2 separate regions of the Mus musculus genome follow, and region 1 is reported to be linked to region 2. The links are microRNA targets in miRTarBase. Many come from high-throughput screens and were not tested one by one. Region 2 holds a microRNA gene; the other region holds the end of a gene's coding sequence. Distances are between the middles of the regions.

Region 1 (7,763 bases), 100 Mb from region 2:
TTGCCCTGCAATCCAGATTTAGTGGACAAATCTTAGATTATTTAAACTATGATGAAATAAATAACTTTTATAGTGCTAGAACAGGTAGAGATAGAATTTAAAGATTAGTTATTTTATCAGGTGACTTTTCTCTAGGTCAAGTTACAGCTTTAAATCCAAGTTCTTTTCAGCCTTTAGAAACATTGTGCTATGAAAGTATTAAGCTAATATTGTACAGTGTACATTAGTCCAGAGCTTGCCTGTGTGGGAATTGACTGAGTGACTAGCACAAGTGGTCACAGATTCTCTCTGGTGAGATGTGCTCAAAGCAGCATCAACAACCAAGGGCCGGTAGGAAACCTTTCTTCAGCTATGCTTTAGTACCTAATTCTGTGGGAGAAGTGACCTCCTCCAGCCCCCGACTTACTGTAGTGCTGCCTTCTTAAATTATGTGCTAAGAGCTTAAGTACACAGATAAGGCGAGAAGCAGCGGTCACTTAATGAGCTGGAGAAAAGGAAAGCTTGACCTTCTTACCGACTTGGAAAAGGATCAGGCTGATCTCTGGCCGGAGGCGGCTCCTGCGTGCACTCACGGGGCCCATCTCTGCTGCATGTGCCGCCTTCTCCACTTTTCTCCTTTCAGAAAGGAAGAAGTAAAGAGAGGAACTCATATTAAGGAAGCACAAGCAGGAACTTTTAGAAATTGTGTAAGAATGGTTTGTAATAAGTTTCACCATTTAGAGTTGAGATTTCAGTCTAAGCGTGCGTGTATGTTAGAAACTGCCATGGGCATTTGATATTCTTTGTGGAGCTTGCAGGAGGTCAGTACTCCTCAAGCAGAGCCTGGCATTTTAGAGTGCTCTTACTGATGTGCTCCACTGCAGAGGGCCTCTCAGGGCCAGAAACTGTTAGACGTGAGCAGCAGCAGCAGAGGCCATGTTTCCTGTAGTCCTGGGAGAAAAACCCAGGGAGTGACCAGAGCATCCGGCATGGTAAAAAGGTACACAGCTGCTGTTAAGCTTGTGCGCCTGGCTTGCATTGAAAGATTTCTTGGTGTTGATAAGCAAAATGGCTATGTCCCTTGGTGCTTGCTTTGGGTCTGAGTCACACACAGCACCCCCTCTCCCCCAGCCTTTACTAGTCAAGTGGTTCTTTGTAAGTATCAGGAACTCAGCTGATCAGCAAAAAGAGACTTGTTAACAGGACTTGAAGTGGCTCCTGGAGTCTCAGAAGGCCTGGAGAACCATGTGAACTCCAGGTCAAGAGGAGCTTGAGTCACACTGGGAAACTGGTCTGATGATGGGTACTACGTGCTGCAAATTCTGTCATTAGCACCCACTCATCAGCCCACCTCCCTAGCCACTTGATATTAGTGCTTGCACTTGGCAAAAAGCCTTGTTTTATTCTGGGTCACCAGCTCATTCCAGTCTTGGCAACAGGCTAAGGTGTGGCACCGGTACCCTGCTTCAAGGAAGCCCAGAAAAGCAGCTTCCCCGCCCTCCAAGAACGAACTCCCCTGACAGGGAGAGAATGCAGTGCTGGCCACTGAAACGTGTGTACTCTTCCCTTTCCCCGTGCTCTATCACACGCTGCATCAGAAGCCTCACTATGAATTTAGTGGCATGTCACCACAGCCTCTAAGAGCACACCTAAGTGCACTTTTGGCATTGTCTGTTTGTAGTCAGAGTGTGGCTTGCAGGGAACAGACCTGGCCTGCTTCCCACAGCCCAGGCTCCTACTGCCCATAGGCTTGGAAGGGATTGACAGATGACTTAGGAAATGGGTCAGCTTCTCCTGAAAAGCACTTGTGTTTCTGTGGATAGAAATTTCTCATGAGCCTATTTTAATTTTAAGCCAGGCAACTTCTAGACAGGAAGTTGAGTAAGTGTACGTGATCTCGTATGTCCAAATCTCCTTTCAAATACAAGTGAACCCCATATTCAGTATTCACTGACTAGTTTCTGAGCCACACAGGCAGCTCAGTCAGTGTAGGCTCTGGATGAAGGCAGCCTGGGAACAGCACTGGATGCAGGCGGCCTGAGAGCATCACTTTGGGTAAGTTCTCTCACTCCTTCTAGGCTCTGTCCACTTGCTTTGAAGAGAGTGGAGCTGTTTAGAGATGGTGCACCCAGGGCATCAGTGCCTGGAACACTAGCTCTCCCTGTACTTCCCTCTTTTAGTGAGTCATTGTTCAAGAATTTAACTTAATGTTTTTATTTGTTCTAGTAGGTGGCAAGTGGGAGAAACCATCAGAAATTCTGGAAATCAAGGGACAGAATTGGGAAGAGCAAGTGAATAGCCTGCCTGAGGTGTTCAGAAAAGCCGGCTTTGTCGTCGAAGCTTTCACTAGACTGCCATACCTGTGTGAAGGCGACATGTACAATGACTACTATGTTCTGGACGATGCTGTCTTTGTTCTCAGACCAGTATAAACACGTGGAGGCCCAAGTCCTCAGAGTCACCCCTGCAACCGACCCTCCAGAAGAGGAGATGCATCCAGTGATGTGAGGGGGACCTCTGGGGACTGTCATTCTCAGTATCATGTAGGAATTTAAAAAGCCAAAATACTAATTCTTTCTTTGTAGTGTGTAAGGGAGTGTTTTTAAAAACAAAACCCAACTCTTTGTGTATTTTTAATCAACTCTTTACTCAGAATCACGCTCCAATGCAGGTCACTCTCCAATTATGATGGAAGATATTTTTTATACTTAATTGCTGTAGGGACTCATTCCCAGACAAAGCAATAGTCATGATGTCATGGAACCGATCAATGGATTGTTTTTAATAAATGAAGACTGGCAATAAAGCTGTCCATTCAATTCCAAATATTGGTTATAAAGTAGAACCATTGATAACTTTCATGTTTAGAAACTCCTTCTCTTACTATTCAAAAAATGTTTTTAATCATGCTAATAAACGTTTTTGGAGATGACTCTGGCACCATGTTCTTCTCTCAGACTCTGCAGCTTTGGCTTCATGGATGCCCTCAGTAGGAGCATGATGTGAAACACTCAGGCTGAGCCTGGAAGGAAAGCAAGGTTCAGCTTGGGTGTGGTGCAGAAGCCCAGGGAATTTTGACACCCCTAGAATGGCCTGCCTTACTCAGATATAGTGCTCTAGGAAGTGCCTCTCAGTCAGTGTACCTGCTTCTGGCCACAAAACAGCTTTGTTTTCCTAAGCTTCCTTAATTCCTCAGGATTGAAGCAGTCTGTGGCTTTGACTGACAGGATTCAGCCTAAATAGACATTCACCTTCTTCCACTTCCTTGAATGCCATCTTCCCAGAACTTGGCTTATCCCTAGATCCTTAACTGAGAGTAAGTATGTTTGCTGAAGACCATTACCAGACACCTGCTAGAATCCAAAGTGCTCCCAATAAACCCAGAAACACAGTGATAGAGGAGACCTCATTAGCAAGAACAGTAAGCATTGTGGACACTAGTCCGGAACCTAAAGACCCAGCAGTCAGAGCGGTGACAGTGTGAATGAGGTAGTCACAGTATGTTACCCACGTGTTCATTACCTGTGACCATTACTCACAGAAAACTACAACACCTGGGCAGAGAGGCCAGCATGTTCATTAGGAGCAGCCTTGAGAGCCCCACCTTAGCAGCCCTGCGCTGTTACTGTGTAGTCAGACAAGGGGTCATGGGTCGATGCACAATTGTTAGTGGTGTGGTGTGTTCTTATTTTTTTCCCCAGAACTTTGGGTAAATGAAGTACAGACAGTGGCCTAGTGAACAGAGGAATGCAGCAACCCTAACATACTTCTTTTGCAGTGGAAGCTTGCTTCTTTACCTGGCGTCATCAGGGGCTGCTGTTTTATCCTGGGAGGGGTATTCAGAGCCAGGTGGCTTCAAAGCGCCTCCTGTCTCTGAAGTTGAGGTCTATTGGAAAAAGACCATAGAAAAACAGAGAGCACATGTGTTTATTCATTTTAAAGACAAATTCTCAAGAAAATCAGAGGATCTTTGAAGACCAGTTTATTAAAAATGCCATTTTGTGACTTGGAAACCAGATGCAGATGTATTCCTATGTCCTATCTGGTCTGGGACGTCTTAGTGTGTTGTCACCTTTGGCCACTAGATGGTGATGTTGTTTACCAAGTGGCAATGGTCCACCTCTCATGGAAGCCTCCTTTTCTCTGCAAGTATAATAATGCTGCTTTGTGTGCAGCATTCCTGGCACGAGGGCTTAAACCCAGTGAAGTTCGAGAAGCCGAGAGGAGCTCCACCTGTGGTCCAGCAGGCTTGCCAGTTGACCCTAAAGGTGAGTGCAGAGAGGAAACACGACTTGCACCTGGGATTCCTGGCCCCCTGCACCTGCATTCAAACCCCCTGGAGTGTTGAGAGTGCCGAGGACACAATGCCCCAGTCATCTCCCCCTCGGGCGAGGTCATTAAAACCACTTCTGTGTTTCCCACCTTCCCAAGTTTTCTGTTTGTTGTTTGTTTGTTTTGTATAGCCAGTTTACAGCAGGAAATAAGCTGGGCTGGGAAAGACGTAAAACTTTGGTGTTTCCAGCTTCCTCCTGAAGCTGTGTCTTCATTAACATCGCACAGAAGACAGGCGGTGGGCCCTACAGCACAAAGTTGGGCTGCTCACAAACTTGTAGCTCATGTATCAAAGATACATCAGAGTTGGCAGGAGGTGGTTTGTTAAGCAAGCAGAAGGACTGGAATTTAGATCTCTAGGAAGTCTTGGAGAGCTTGGAACCCCAGCATGTAGGAGTCAAACATCCCTGGAGCAAGGTGGCTCCCCAGCTTATCTGAAACCACAAGCTCCAAGCTCCATGAAAAGACCTGCCTCAGTATATAAAGTGGAGTGCAATTGAAGAAGCTACCAGAAGTCAGCCTTGTACCACAGCACACACAGACCCACACATGTACCCTCACATGGATGTGGGAGAGTACGTGCATACACACACACACACACACACACACACACACACAAGTACAACATAATGGAGGAAGTTCACATTGCATCCACCTGAAGAGAGATTTGTGATGTAACTGGGAATAATACACCCTGAAATTAAACAGTACTACACCGTGAGATTCTAAGGTCTCGCAACTAAATGGATAATGCATCATTGGCTAAAAATGGCTGAGAACAATGATTAACGATTGTACTGGCTGGTTTTATGTGTCAACTTGACACAGGCTGGAGTTATCACTGAGAAAGGAGCTTTAGCTGGGGATGTGCCTCCATGAGATCCAACTGTGGGGGCATTTTCTCAATTAGTGATCAAGGTGGGAGGGTCCCTTGTGGGTGGGACCATCTCTGGGCTGGTAGTCTTGTGTTCTTTTTTCTTTTCTTTTCTTTCTTTTTTTTTTTTTTTGGTTTTTTGAGACAGGGGTTCTCTGTATAGCCCTGGCTGTCCTGGAACTCACTCTGTAGACCAGGCTGGCCTCGAACTCAGAAATCTGCCTCCCGAGTGCTGGGATTAAAGGCTTGAGCCACCATGCCCGGCTAGTCTTGGGTTCTATAAGAAAGCAAGCTGAGCAAGCCAGTGGAAGCAAGCCAGTGAGTAACATCCCTCCATGGCCTCTGCATCAGCTCCTGCTTTCTGACCTGCTTGAGTTCCAGTCCTGACTTCCTTTGGTGATGAACAGCAGTGTGGAAGTGTAAGCCGAATAAATCCTTTCCTCCCCAACTTGCTTCTTGGTCCTGATGTTTGTGCAGGAATAGAAACCCTGACTAAGACAACGATCCAGACTGCAGCTATACACATTTCCATTTCACTTTTTCTGTTCTGTGTAATTGTGCCGTCTACCTTCTAGGCAAGAATTCTAAAATTCAAGTAGTATCTTAATTTTGAACTATTTTAAAAGTAAACTGACTTGGGACTAGTTCTGGGTTTGTAAAAATTAGAGTTATATCTGACTTTGTTCTCATCTAGTTGGCCCTAGTGCTACTGTCTGACGGACCCATCCCATGTTCAAGGCTGTTAGGGTTTTGCTTCTTTTCCTAATAGTCTTTTTCCTATCCCCGATTTCTGTTCAGGATGCCCCACTCCATCGGCTGGTTTTTACTATTTCAAAGACTTTAATTTTGTGTGTATGAGTGTCTTGCTTGCATGATTTATGTGTACCTGGCCCCAGAACTGGAGTTAGGATTTATTGTGAGCCGCCGTGTGGATGCGGGGAACCGAGCCCAGGCCCTCTTGACAGCAGCCAGTGCTCCTTCCCACTAAGCCCCTTCTGCAGCCAATTTTGTTTTTTTTTAATTATCAGTTCTCACTGAAATGGAATGTCATCATTTGCTTTTCCCCTTTCTATTTTTATGTAGTCAAATGCATGTAACAGATTGACAAACAGTCGTTGGTTAGGTGTAGTCCTATAGTGCAGTCTTTCCCTCATCTGTCTCTAGAGCACTGCATTTTGCCAAACTGGAAACTCCACCTATTAAATAACCAACTCTGTACCTTAGGTTCCTTGGGCATATAGAATGATACAATGTGTTTGTTTTCTGTTTTGTGTGTGTGTGTGTGTGTGTGTGTGTTTGTGTGTGTGTGTGTGTGTTTGTGTTCTGTGTGTGTGTGTGTTTGTGTGTGTGTGTGTTTGTGTGTGTATGTTTGTGTGTGTGTGTTTGTGTATGTGTTTGTGTATGTGTGTTTGTGTGTGTATGTGTGTGTTTGTGTGTTTGTGTGTATGTGTGTGTTTGTGTGTGTTTGTGTGTGTGTGTTTGTGTGTGTATGTGTTTGTGTGTGTTTGTGTGTGTGTAGAAACTGGTTTATTTCACTTAGCATCTGAAGTTGCAGCCATGTTTATAGCATGCTCCAGCATTTCCTTTTTAAGACTGAATGCTATTCCATTGTATGGGCATACCACAGTTTGCTTATCCATTTCTCCACTGATAGACACTCAGAGTGCGTCCATATTTCAGCTGTTGTGCACCATGCTGCTGTGGATATGAATGTGTATTTCTTAAAGACTGCTTTCATTTTGGGGGAACAGATACTCAAAGTGGAACTACTGGGTCATTTTGTAATCCATTCTAGTTCTAGGGTTTTTGTTTTGTTTTGTTTTGTTTTTTAAGGAACTAAAATGATGAAAACATTTTATGTTCCCACCAACAATGCACAAGAGTCCCAATTTTTCTACATCATTGCCAGCACTTACATATTTTAGATAGTAGTCGCTGAGTGTGTATGAGACGATACTGTTTGATTTTCATTCCCTAATGATTAGTGTGCATCATGCTTTCATGGTTCAATTTGGGGCACTTGGCTTCATTTCCTGCAAATGAAAGTAAACTGCACTTTGTAAATATCCAGTGGTTCCCCCCGAACAACAGAATCCTTTTTCTCTATGAAATCTCAGACTTCCCTGGAGAATTGGGAGAATATTATTACATAACTAGAATTTGAGTCCCTCTGGGTTTGAAAGTCACTATGCCCTATTCAGACAAATTAATGCTTTCATTATAAAGTCATTTAACAGTTACTTTCAGTGCCTGTAAAATGGTGACATAACATTGGCTCTCTGCACTTTAGTTCTAGAACATAAATAACAGGATGCCCAAACACTGTTATTAGATACCCTGTTTAGGATTTGACGTAATACTGATTTATTTTTTGAGATGGGACCTTGCTGTGTTGCCAGGCTGGTCTCAAACTCAAGAGTTTCGAGTGATCCATCTATTCCAGCTTCTTGAGTGGAGGGGACCACAGCTTCGGGCCACTGCCTTGGCTGGAATATTGTGTTTAAATGCTTGTGAACCCCCAACCCTTTCCCATGGGTGGGTTGAAGTAGCCAGGTCTGTTACCATCCTCTTAAACTCA
Region 2 (7,763 bases):
GCCTCTGGCAGGCAAACGTCCTGGTCGGGGCCCGGGCCTTGCTATCCCAGCACCCGGAAGACCCAGGCAGGAGCATCGCTGCGATTTTGGAGGCCAGCCGGGGCTACACAGCGAGACCGTGTACTAACAACAATTGTAAATAACAAGGCGAGGAATGTCGCTCAGTTGGTAGGGTGCTAGCCTAGCTAGCAGGGGTGAAACTCTGGGTTCCATCCTGGCACCGCATAAACTGACTGATAGTAATTACAATTATGCCTGTAATTCTAGAGACAGGGTGGCTGAGGACAGATTGCTCGAGTTTGAAGTACAGTCTGGGTTTCATAGTGAGTTTCGGGCTAGCTAGGGCTATGTATAGGAAAACTCTGGAGGTATTCCTGGTAGTGACAATAGTGGAGGGAAGAAGGGGTTCCGTATGTGGAGGTCAGAGGACAACTTTGTGGAGTTGGGTTTTTCCTTCCACTTCTATTTCGGTTTTGTTTTGTTGTAGATTTATTTGTTTTATGTATGTGAGTACACTGTAGCTGTACAGATGGTTGTGAGCCTTCATGTGGTTGCTGGGATTTGAACTCAGGACCTCTGGAAGAGCAAGCAGCCAGTGCTCTTAACTGCTCAGCCATCTCTCCAGTCCCTCGTTGTGTTTTCTGAGACAGGGTTTCTCTGTGTGATTTTTGCTGTCCTGGAACTTGTTTCATAGACCAGGCAGGCCTCAAAGTCCCAAAAGATCCACCTGCCTCTGCCTCCTGAGTGCTGTGATTAAAGGCATAGGCCAACACCACCCAGATTTCTTATCATTTTATGTGGGTTCTAGGGATCAAATTCAGGCTGTTAGGTTTGATAGCAATCGCCTTTACCTGCTGAGCTATTTCAACAGCCCTGAACACAAACTTTTTAAAAAAAGTTTTCTTTTAGGTATACTTATTTCCAATGTGTGTATACATGCTACAGTGTGCACGTGAGGGTAGAGTTGGTTCTTTCCTTCCGTGTATGTCTTGGGGATTGAACTCGGGTGATCAGGCTTGGCCACAAGCACCTTTACCCGCTAAGCCATATTGCTGGCCCACCAATGTATTAGCCCTCACAACCTTGTTCCAAGTAAGGTTTATGGAGCTACTTAGAAGCAAGAATGCTGTGATCCTGAGAGGTAAAAGGTTCCTACTGTCTGCTGCTCAGTAAACTCATTAGCTGTGTCAGTAAGAGGGCCACAGAAATAGGGTTCAGCCTGCAGTCCCAGTACTCAAAGTAGAGGCAACAGGATTGCCAAAAGTTCAAAGCCAGCCAGAGATTCTTAGTAACTACTAGGCCTGCATAGCAAGATCCTTTGGGGTAGGCGGGTGAGGAATAAGAATTAACAATTAAAAGTCCAGCAGAAGAGGAGGAGCGGAGACTATCAGTCCTGGGGCCTTGACAGCGATGCCACTGCTGTGTGTGTTGCCTTGCTGTTCCCGGGTGGTGGCATGTCAAGGAGAGTTCCCCAGAGCGTACGTTGATGACAGAGAGCCTGTGTCTTACTACTTCTGTGCCCAATTTTCAGGGTCATGGAGTCCTGGAGATGCCCTCGGGCACTGGGAAGACAGTGTCCCTATTGGCCCTGATTGTGGCCTATCAGCGGGTGAGTGGCCTTCTGAGTGCCTGGAGTGGGGGCTGAGGGGTGGGGCTGGATGGGGCTGAGGTCCCTGTCACCCACAGGCTTATCCGCTGGAGGTGACCAAACTTATCTACTGCTCACGGACCGTGCCAGAGATTGAGAAGGTGGGCAATGCAGATGGGACCCATGCTCTGCCCCCTCCCCTGGGCCTTGGTGGTCCCCCATCTCTGCCCTCGGTAGCCCGGTGGGCAAGGACTTGTGCTTGCCCTGTGGTCCCCACCTAATGCTCCCATCATCTGAGCAGGTCATAGAAGAGCTTCGTAAGCTACTCAGCTTCTACGAGCAGCAGGAGGGCGAGAAGCTGCCGTTCTTAGGACTGGCTCTGAGCTCAAGAAAGAACCTGTGCATTCATCCCGAGGTGAGCCCTGCGCTGTCACCCTGGGCCACTCCATGCAAGCCCCAGAGGGAACCCGTTGTCAGTATGAGTGGGGCTTGCTGCTCAGTTGTTAGGCCAATGCTCATCCTTATGGCTAAGGGTAGCACCTGTACCAGGATCAGAAACTGCTTACATTCCACATGGCACCTCAGACTCACACATTTGACCTGTGACAGGTCAAAATCTAAATGGTAGCTTACTCAAAGGATTGGGTATTTTTATATACAGGCAAAATAAGATAATTTCATGACAGCCTCACGTCCTGCCTGACAGTATCCATTATGTTCATGCCGGTATTCCACAACCCACACACATCAGGGAACCAAAGCCCTGCTGAGCCAAGTGCTTGCAGAGAAAGGCCACTCAGGGATCGTTGTTTTCTGTTTGGGGTTTTTTTGTTTGTTTGGAGAGAAATTGAGGCACTTGTTTTTTAAAACCTTACATGTTTGTGTGTATGTGTGTGCACGTGGCGGTCAGAGGACAGCTTTGGGAGTCTGTTCTCTCTTCACTGTGTGGTCCCAGGTTGAAATCAGGCTGTCGGGCTTGGCGGTAGACATCCGCATTCACTGAACCATCCAGCTGGCCCTCTGCTTGGCTGGTTCTCTGTGATATGGATTGTCCATACAGCCTTGTGTGTGCTAGCAAGCACTCTCCCTACCACTGAGCTATGCCCCCAGCTCCTTTCCACCTTTTGTTTGGTGGGTTGCCAGGTTCCCAGGTTGACCTGTGTTTGTATTCCTCCTACTTCAGTGTCGGAGTGACTGGGATTGCAGGCACCTGCTGCCATGTCCAGCTCTGATGGGATGATTTTAGCCATGCTCCACACTTACAGTACTGCAGGAAGTTCTTTTAGCAAATAGCAAATCAGCCAGTTGTGGTGGTGCATGCCTTTAATCCCAGTACTCGGGAGGCAGAGGCAGGCAGATCTCTGTGAGTTCAAGGCCAGCCTGATCTATAAAATGAGTCCAGGACAGCCAGGGCTATTATACTGAGAAACTCTGTCTTTAAACACCAAAAACCAAACGAACAAAAGACCAAATACCAAATCAGGTGAAGGTTTCCACTGCCCCCAAACCCTAGCTGACGTACTACTCCTGGTGTCTGAGTTTGGAGACCCAAGTTACAATAGCTGATATGCACCACTTCCTGTCTCTGTTTTATGTTGTCCCCTGACACCCCGCCCCCTCAGGTGACTCCACTGCGCTTTGGGAAGGATGTTGATGGGAAGTGTCACAGCCTAACGGCGTCGTATGTGCGGGCACAGTACCAGCAGGATGCCAGCCTGCCTCACTGCCGCTTCTATGAGGTACAGGGAAGAGCCTAGAACTGGTGAGCAGGGTGGGGGCCACGCCAGAGCCGCTCTCCCTGACCCTGCCACCCTCTGGCCTTGCCCCAGGAATTTGACATCCATGGACGCCAGATGCCGCTCCCTGCGGGCATCTACAACCTGGATGACCTGAAGGCCCTAGGGCAGCGCCAGGGCTGGTGCCCCTACTTCCTGGCTCGATACTCGGTGAAGAGTTGTTTTGTTTCCTTATGAGGCAGGATCTCATTTGTAGCCCAGCTGGCCTCAAACTTGGAATAACCCTGCCTCAGGTTCTCAGCTGTCAGGGGTATAGGCATGAGCCACCGTGCCCATCCTTCTGCTGGCCCATCTGTCTACTTGACTCTGTGCTGTTACGTCTTTATGTCTGTTGTCTGGATCGTCTGTCTCCGTCCTAGTATCTCTGCTTTCTTGTGCCTTGCCTGGGTGGTCCTTGATGTGTTTATAAAAAGATAAAGGGGGAGATATGTTCTATGGAGGTGTGGGGAAAGGGGTGCCTCTGCAGGCTCATGCTGAGGCGTCCCTTACCCCTGAGGGACCAGCCACCACACGACAGTATAGTATAGAATAGGGTTTATTCAGGGCATGGGGAAGGGTGTCAAGAGGATAGTAGAGGCAGAGAAAGGCGGGGGAGGGAGGGAGGGGGGGGTTGCCCATGAGCACATGGAGAGAGATGGGGGAAGGGACTAGAGGATAGAGCAGGGGCAGGAAGGCAGAGCAAAGCAAGAAAGCAAGGGGGGGGGGGCAAGAAGCCCCTTTTATAGTGATTCAGGCACACCTGGCTATTGCCGTGTAACTGTGAGGTGGAGCTTAGACAAAAGGCTAACAGTCCTGTCCATCTTTCCACCCGTCGTTGTGTCTGTCTTTGTGGCACCTCTGTGTACCTGGGATAGAGTGGGTGTGGCGGGGGTAGCAGAGCCCAGGGCAACCTCTCCCTTCATGTGCCCAGATCCTGCATGCCAACGTGGTGGTTTACAGCTACCACTACCTCCTGGACCCCAAGATCGCAGACCTGGTATCCAAAGAGCTGGCTCGCAAGGCTGTTGTGGTCTTCGATGAAGCTCACAACATCGGTGAGGAGGGCGGGCATCAGGGTGTGCAGACAGTGGCAGCCCTCTGCCTCTGCCCCCAGGCCTGCCTGAGCCCGGCTTTCATCCCTTTGCTCTTTCCTCAGACAATGTCTGCATTGACTCCATGAGTGTCAACCTCACCCGCAGGACTCTGGACCGTTGCCAGAGCAACTTAGACACCCTACAGAAGACCGTGCTCAGGTGCCTGTCTGCTCCCACTGTTGTGTGTGCCTCAGTGCCCTGGGCACCTGCCTCATTCCAGCTCCTGTCCCATGTCCCCATCAGGATCAAGGAGACGGATGAGCAGCGGCTGCGGGATGAGTACCGGCGCCTGGTGGAGGGCCTGCGGGAGGCCAGTGTGGCCCGGGAGACAGATGCCCACCTGGCCAACCCTGTGCTGCCGGACGAGGTGCTGCAGGGTGAGCTACTCCCCACTCCCCCACCACCCAGCCCCTGCCCCGCACACGCACCCCTGTACCACCTGACTGGGTCTCCCTGCAGAGGCTGTGCCTGGCTCCATCCGTACGGCTGAGCACTTCCTGGGCTTTCTGCGGCGGCTGCTGGAGTATGTCAAGTGGCGTCTGCGCGTGCAGCATGTGGTGCAGGAGAGTCCACCTGCCTTTCTGAGCGGCCTGGCCCAGCGGGTGTGCATCCAGCGCAAGCCCCTCAGGTGCGGCCTGCACGGGGAACCACGGGCCCAAGCCTTGTTGCTGATGATAAAGGGGTCTGGACCATAGATAAGGCTAAGGGGCAGGTCAGAACTGGATGTGGAGGGCATCCATTGGACTGTGTGGTTGGCAGTGAGTGCCGCAGCCACGTGTCCCTATGTTGGGTGATGAGCAGGTGACACAGCCTTTGTGAGGCTAAGAAAGTATGTGGCTATTCCTCCTTGAGCGTTGGGCCCGTGACACTGGCTGGACAGAAACAGAGTGACTGCTAGCTGGGAGTCTTTTTTTTTTTTTTTTTGGTTTGGTTTTTTGAGACAGGGTTTCTCTGTGTAGCCCTGGCTGTCCTGGAACTCACTTTGTAGACCAGGCTGGCTTCGAACTCAGAAATCCGCCTGCCTCTGCCTCCCGAGTGCTGGGATTAAAGGCGTGCGCCACCACGCCGGGCTCTAGCCGGGAGTCTTAACAGGATATTGCGTGTGAGCAGTGAGCCTGTGCACTGTATGTGCTGTGCTCCAGCCTGGAGTGGTAGCTCTGGGGGTCTTCTACAGTATGGGGTAGCTTCACACAATGCCCAGGTGCCCAGGGAAACATGGTGAGAGTCGGGCCTGTTGCTGCTTCCCGCTCCTGACCCCGTTGCCTCTCAGGTTCTGTGCTGAACGCCTGCGCTCCCTGCTGCACACCCTGGAGATTGCCGACCTGGCCGACTTCTCCCCGCTCACACTCCTTGCTAACTTCGCCACTCTCGTCAGCACTTACGCCAAGGGTGAGCTCGCCTTTCTACTGGGGATCTGACAGCAGGACTTGGGGGTCAGCCACATGGGTGGGGCATTAGCAGGGGGCAAGACCATACAGAGTGCCTGAGTGAGGAGCCTCGTGGTCAGATTCTCGTGTTCAGAGAACAAGTGTGTGGGCTGTGCTGTGGCACTGACCAGAAGGACACTAGGGGTCACCTCACCATCAGTGGGGTGAGGAGTCCTCGTGTGTGACTGAGGGCACCAGGGAACCATGGCAGGTTCTGGGCAAGGGATGCACTTGGTGAGATTGTTGCTTTCGAGGTTCATGTAGCAGGAAGATGCAGAACTGTGGACAATGGGGACAGGAGAGTGTGCTGGGGAGAACTATGGGAGGAAGAGGCCAGGATGGAAAAGCATGGCGCTGGGCATGAAGCTCTCAAGGGAGGCAGATACAGACTGATGATCCACAGAGGCCTGCCTCCCAGGACCTTCTGGGTCCGTCACTTGGGTCCATCTGTCATGTTTCCTCTGTCCATGTGTTGTGTGCTGCCCCACCCCCCCACCCCCCCAGCTCCACACTGAGTTTTCAGGCTTATCCCTGGGGATTACTGCCGTAGCCAGGAAACCAGGTCAGCTGGCATCCTGCAGCTGGGCCAGCCTGGGCCTCGGAAGGAGGAGGCCCCCCCCATCAGCCCCACTGCAGGCTGTTGGCAGCTGCCTGCTTCCTTAAGCTTTCAGCACTCACCATGCCCCTTTCTTTGGCCTTTGTCTCTTCCTCCTCCCCCACCTACAACATCACAATCGGTAGAAGCCTCCTTGTCTACGCCTCCTATCACCTGCCTGAGTCCTTCAGCTTTCAGAAAGGCACCCAGCCCACCCTATGCGAGGCCTGCCCCTTCTCTATTCCAGCTGCGCCTGGGATCATTACTCTCTGGATAGCTGTCTCCCCTAGTACAAGGGAGCTCTTATGGGTGGGACTGAGGCTGTGTTGGTCACTGCTGTGTCCTTGGCAAGGGCTGGACACGTAAGACCCGATCATTTTTGCCAAGTGAAACAGAACCCATGAATGTATTCATTTGTTCAGTTAGCAAATGGGGCCAGGCCCAGCACTACTGAAACAGCCTCATCCTCCCCTTCCCGGAGTCACAGCCTGGGGGAGAATGAGGAGCAAAGATGGTTCCAGGTGACCCTGGGAAGTGGAGCGGTGCTGCAAGGAGCCATGGCACTGTCCTCTGGGGCAGGGATTCAGCCAAGTGGAAGCTGGCACAGCAGCTCAGGGCAAGGGGGCCCTCAGGTGTCTCACAGTGGGACTCTGGAATATGAACTATCCTTGTTTTTCTTGTCCTTGGTTGTGAAGTGTTATCCCAGTCATGGTACCCTGTGCTGGCAACAGAAAAAAACCAACAACAACAACAAAAAAAGCCAGTCAGGAAGGCACCCAAGGCCAGGTCCACCTGGTTACCAGCCTCTTACTGCCAAAGCCATTGCTGCTTCCCTCAGGAGCGGCCCTCTTCCCTGCCTCTACTTAGCCTGTGTTGGTGGCAGAGAGGCACGGTGAGGAATGGGAGGGAGGAAAGCAGGCAAATCTTGCTCTTCAGCCTGGGAGAGTGCATGACACCCTTCTGGGGTCATGGGAAGTGTGGAAACTGGCAAACTTGGGGTTCCATGACATGTCTCTGGTTGCTCTGCGGGGACAGGAGTGAGAGCCTGGAGGACAGAGGTGCCTGGGGAATGGCGGGCTTGGCTACCTGCGGGACCATGTATGAAGCCACAGCTCACTGCTTCTGCACCTGAGGGTTTGCAGAAGTGGGCAGGCTGGGGCAGTTCTGTCCCGGGGTGATGAGTGACTGAGACTCCCCGGCCTCTCCCTCCACCAGGCTTCACCATTATCATTGAGCCCTTTGACGACAGGACCCCCACCATCGCCAACCCCGTTCTGCACTTCA

The links. Region 2 holds the annotated microRNA mmu-miR-343 (UCUCCCUUCAUGUGCCCAGA, at 4,276-4,295, shown strand). A microRNA usually pairs through its seed, bases 2 to 8, with sites in the 3' UTR of a target mRNA and lowers its output. Matches are read on the target gene's strand: a 7mer-m8 pairs with bases 2 to 8, a 7mer-A1 pairs with bases 2 to 7 and ends in A, and an 8mer does both.
Region 1: the mRNA of Mettl9 is a reported target of mmu-miR-343. Seed matches in the 3' UTR shown: 7mer-m8 at 2,570-2,576.

What each region holds. Positions count from the first base shown.
Region 1 is chr7:121,073,925-121,081,687 of GRCm38, forward strand. It overlaps Mettl9 (methyltransferase like 9), which reads left to right. Exons shown (of 5, transcript NM_021554.2): 5 at 2,206-2,911. The coding sequence ends at 2,411. It overlaps Igsf6 (immunoglobulin superfamily, member 6), which reads right to left and starts at 606. Exons shown (of 6, transcript NM_030691.1): 1 at 515-606. The coding sequence starts at 581.
Region 2 is chr7:19,382,413-19,390,175 of GRCm38, forward strand. It overlaps Mir343 (microRNA 343), which reads left to right and starts at 4,231; the gene lies at 4,231-4,305. Ercc2 (excision repair cross-complementing rodent repair deficiency, complementation group 2) reads left to right here. Exons shown (of 23, transcript NM_007949.5): 3 at 1,532-1,609; 4 at 1,687-1,749; 5 at 1,890-2,003; 6 at 3,211-3,327; 7 at 3,418-3,534; 8 at 4,295-4,418; 9 at 4,520-4,616; 10 at 4,701-4,834; 11 at 4,917-5,085; 12 at 5,728-5,846; 13 at 7,695-7,763.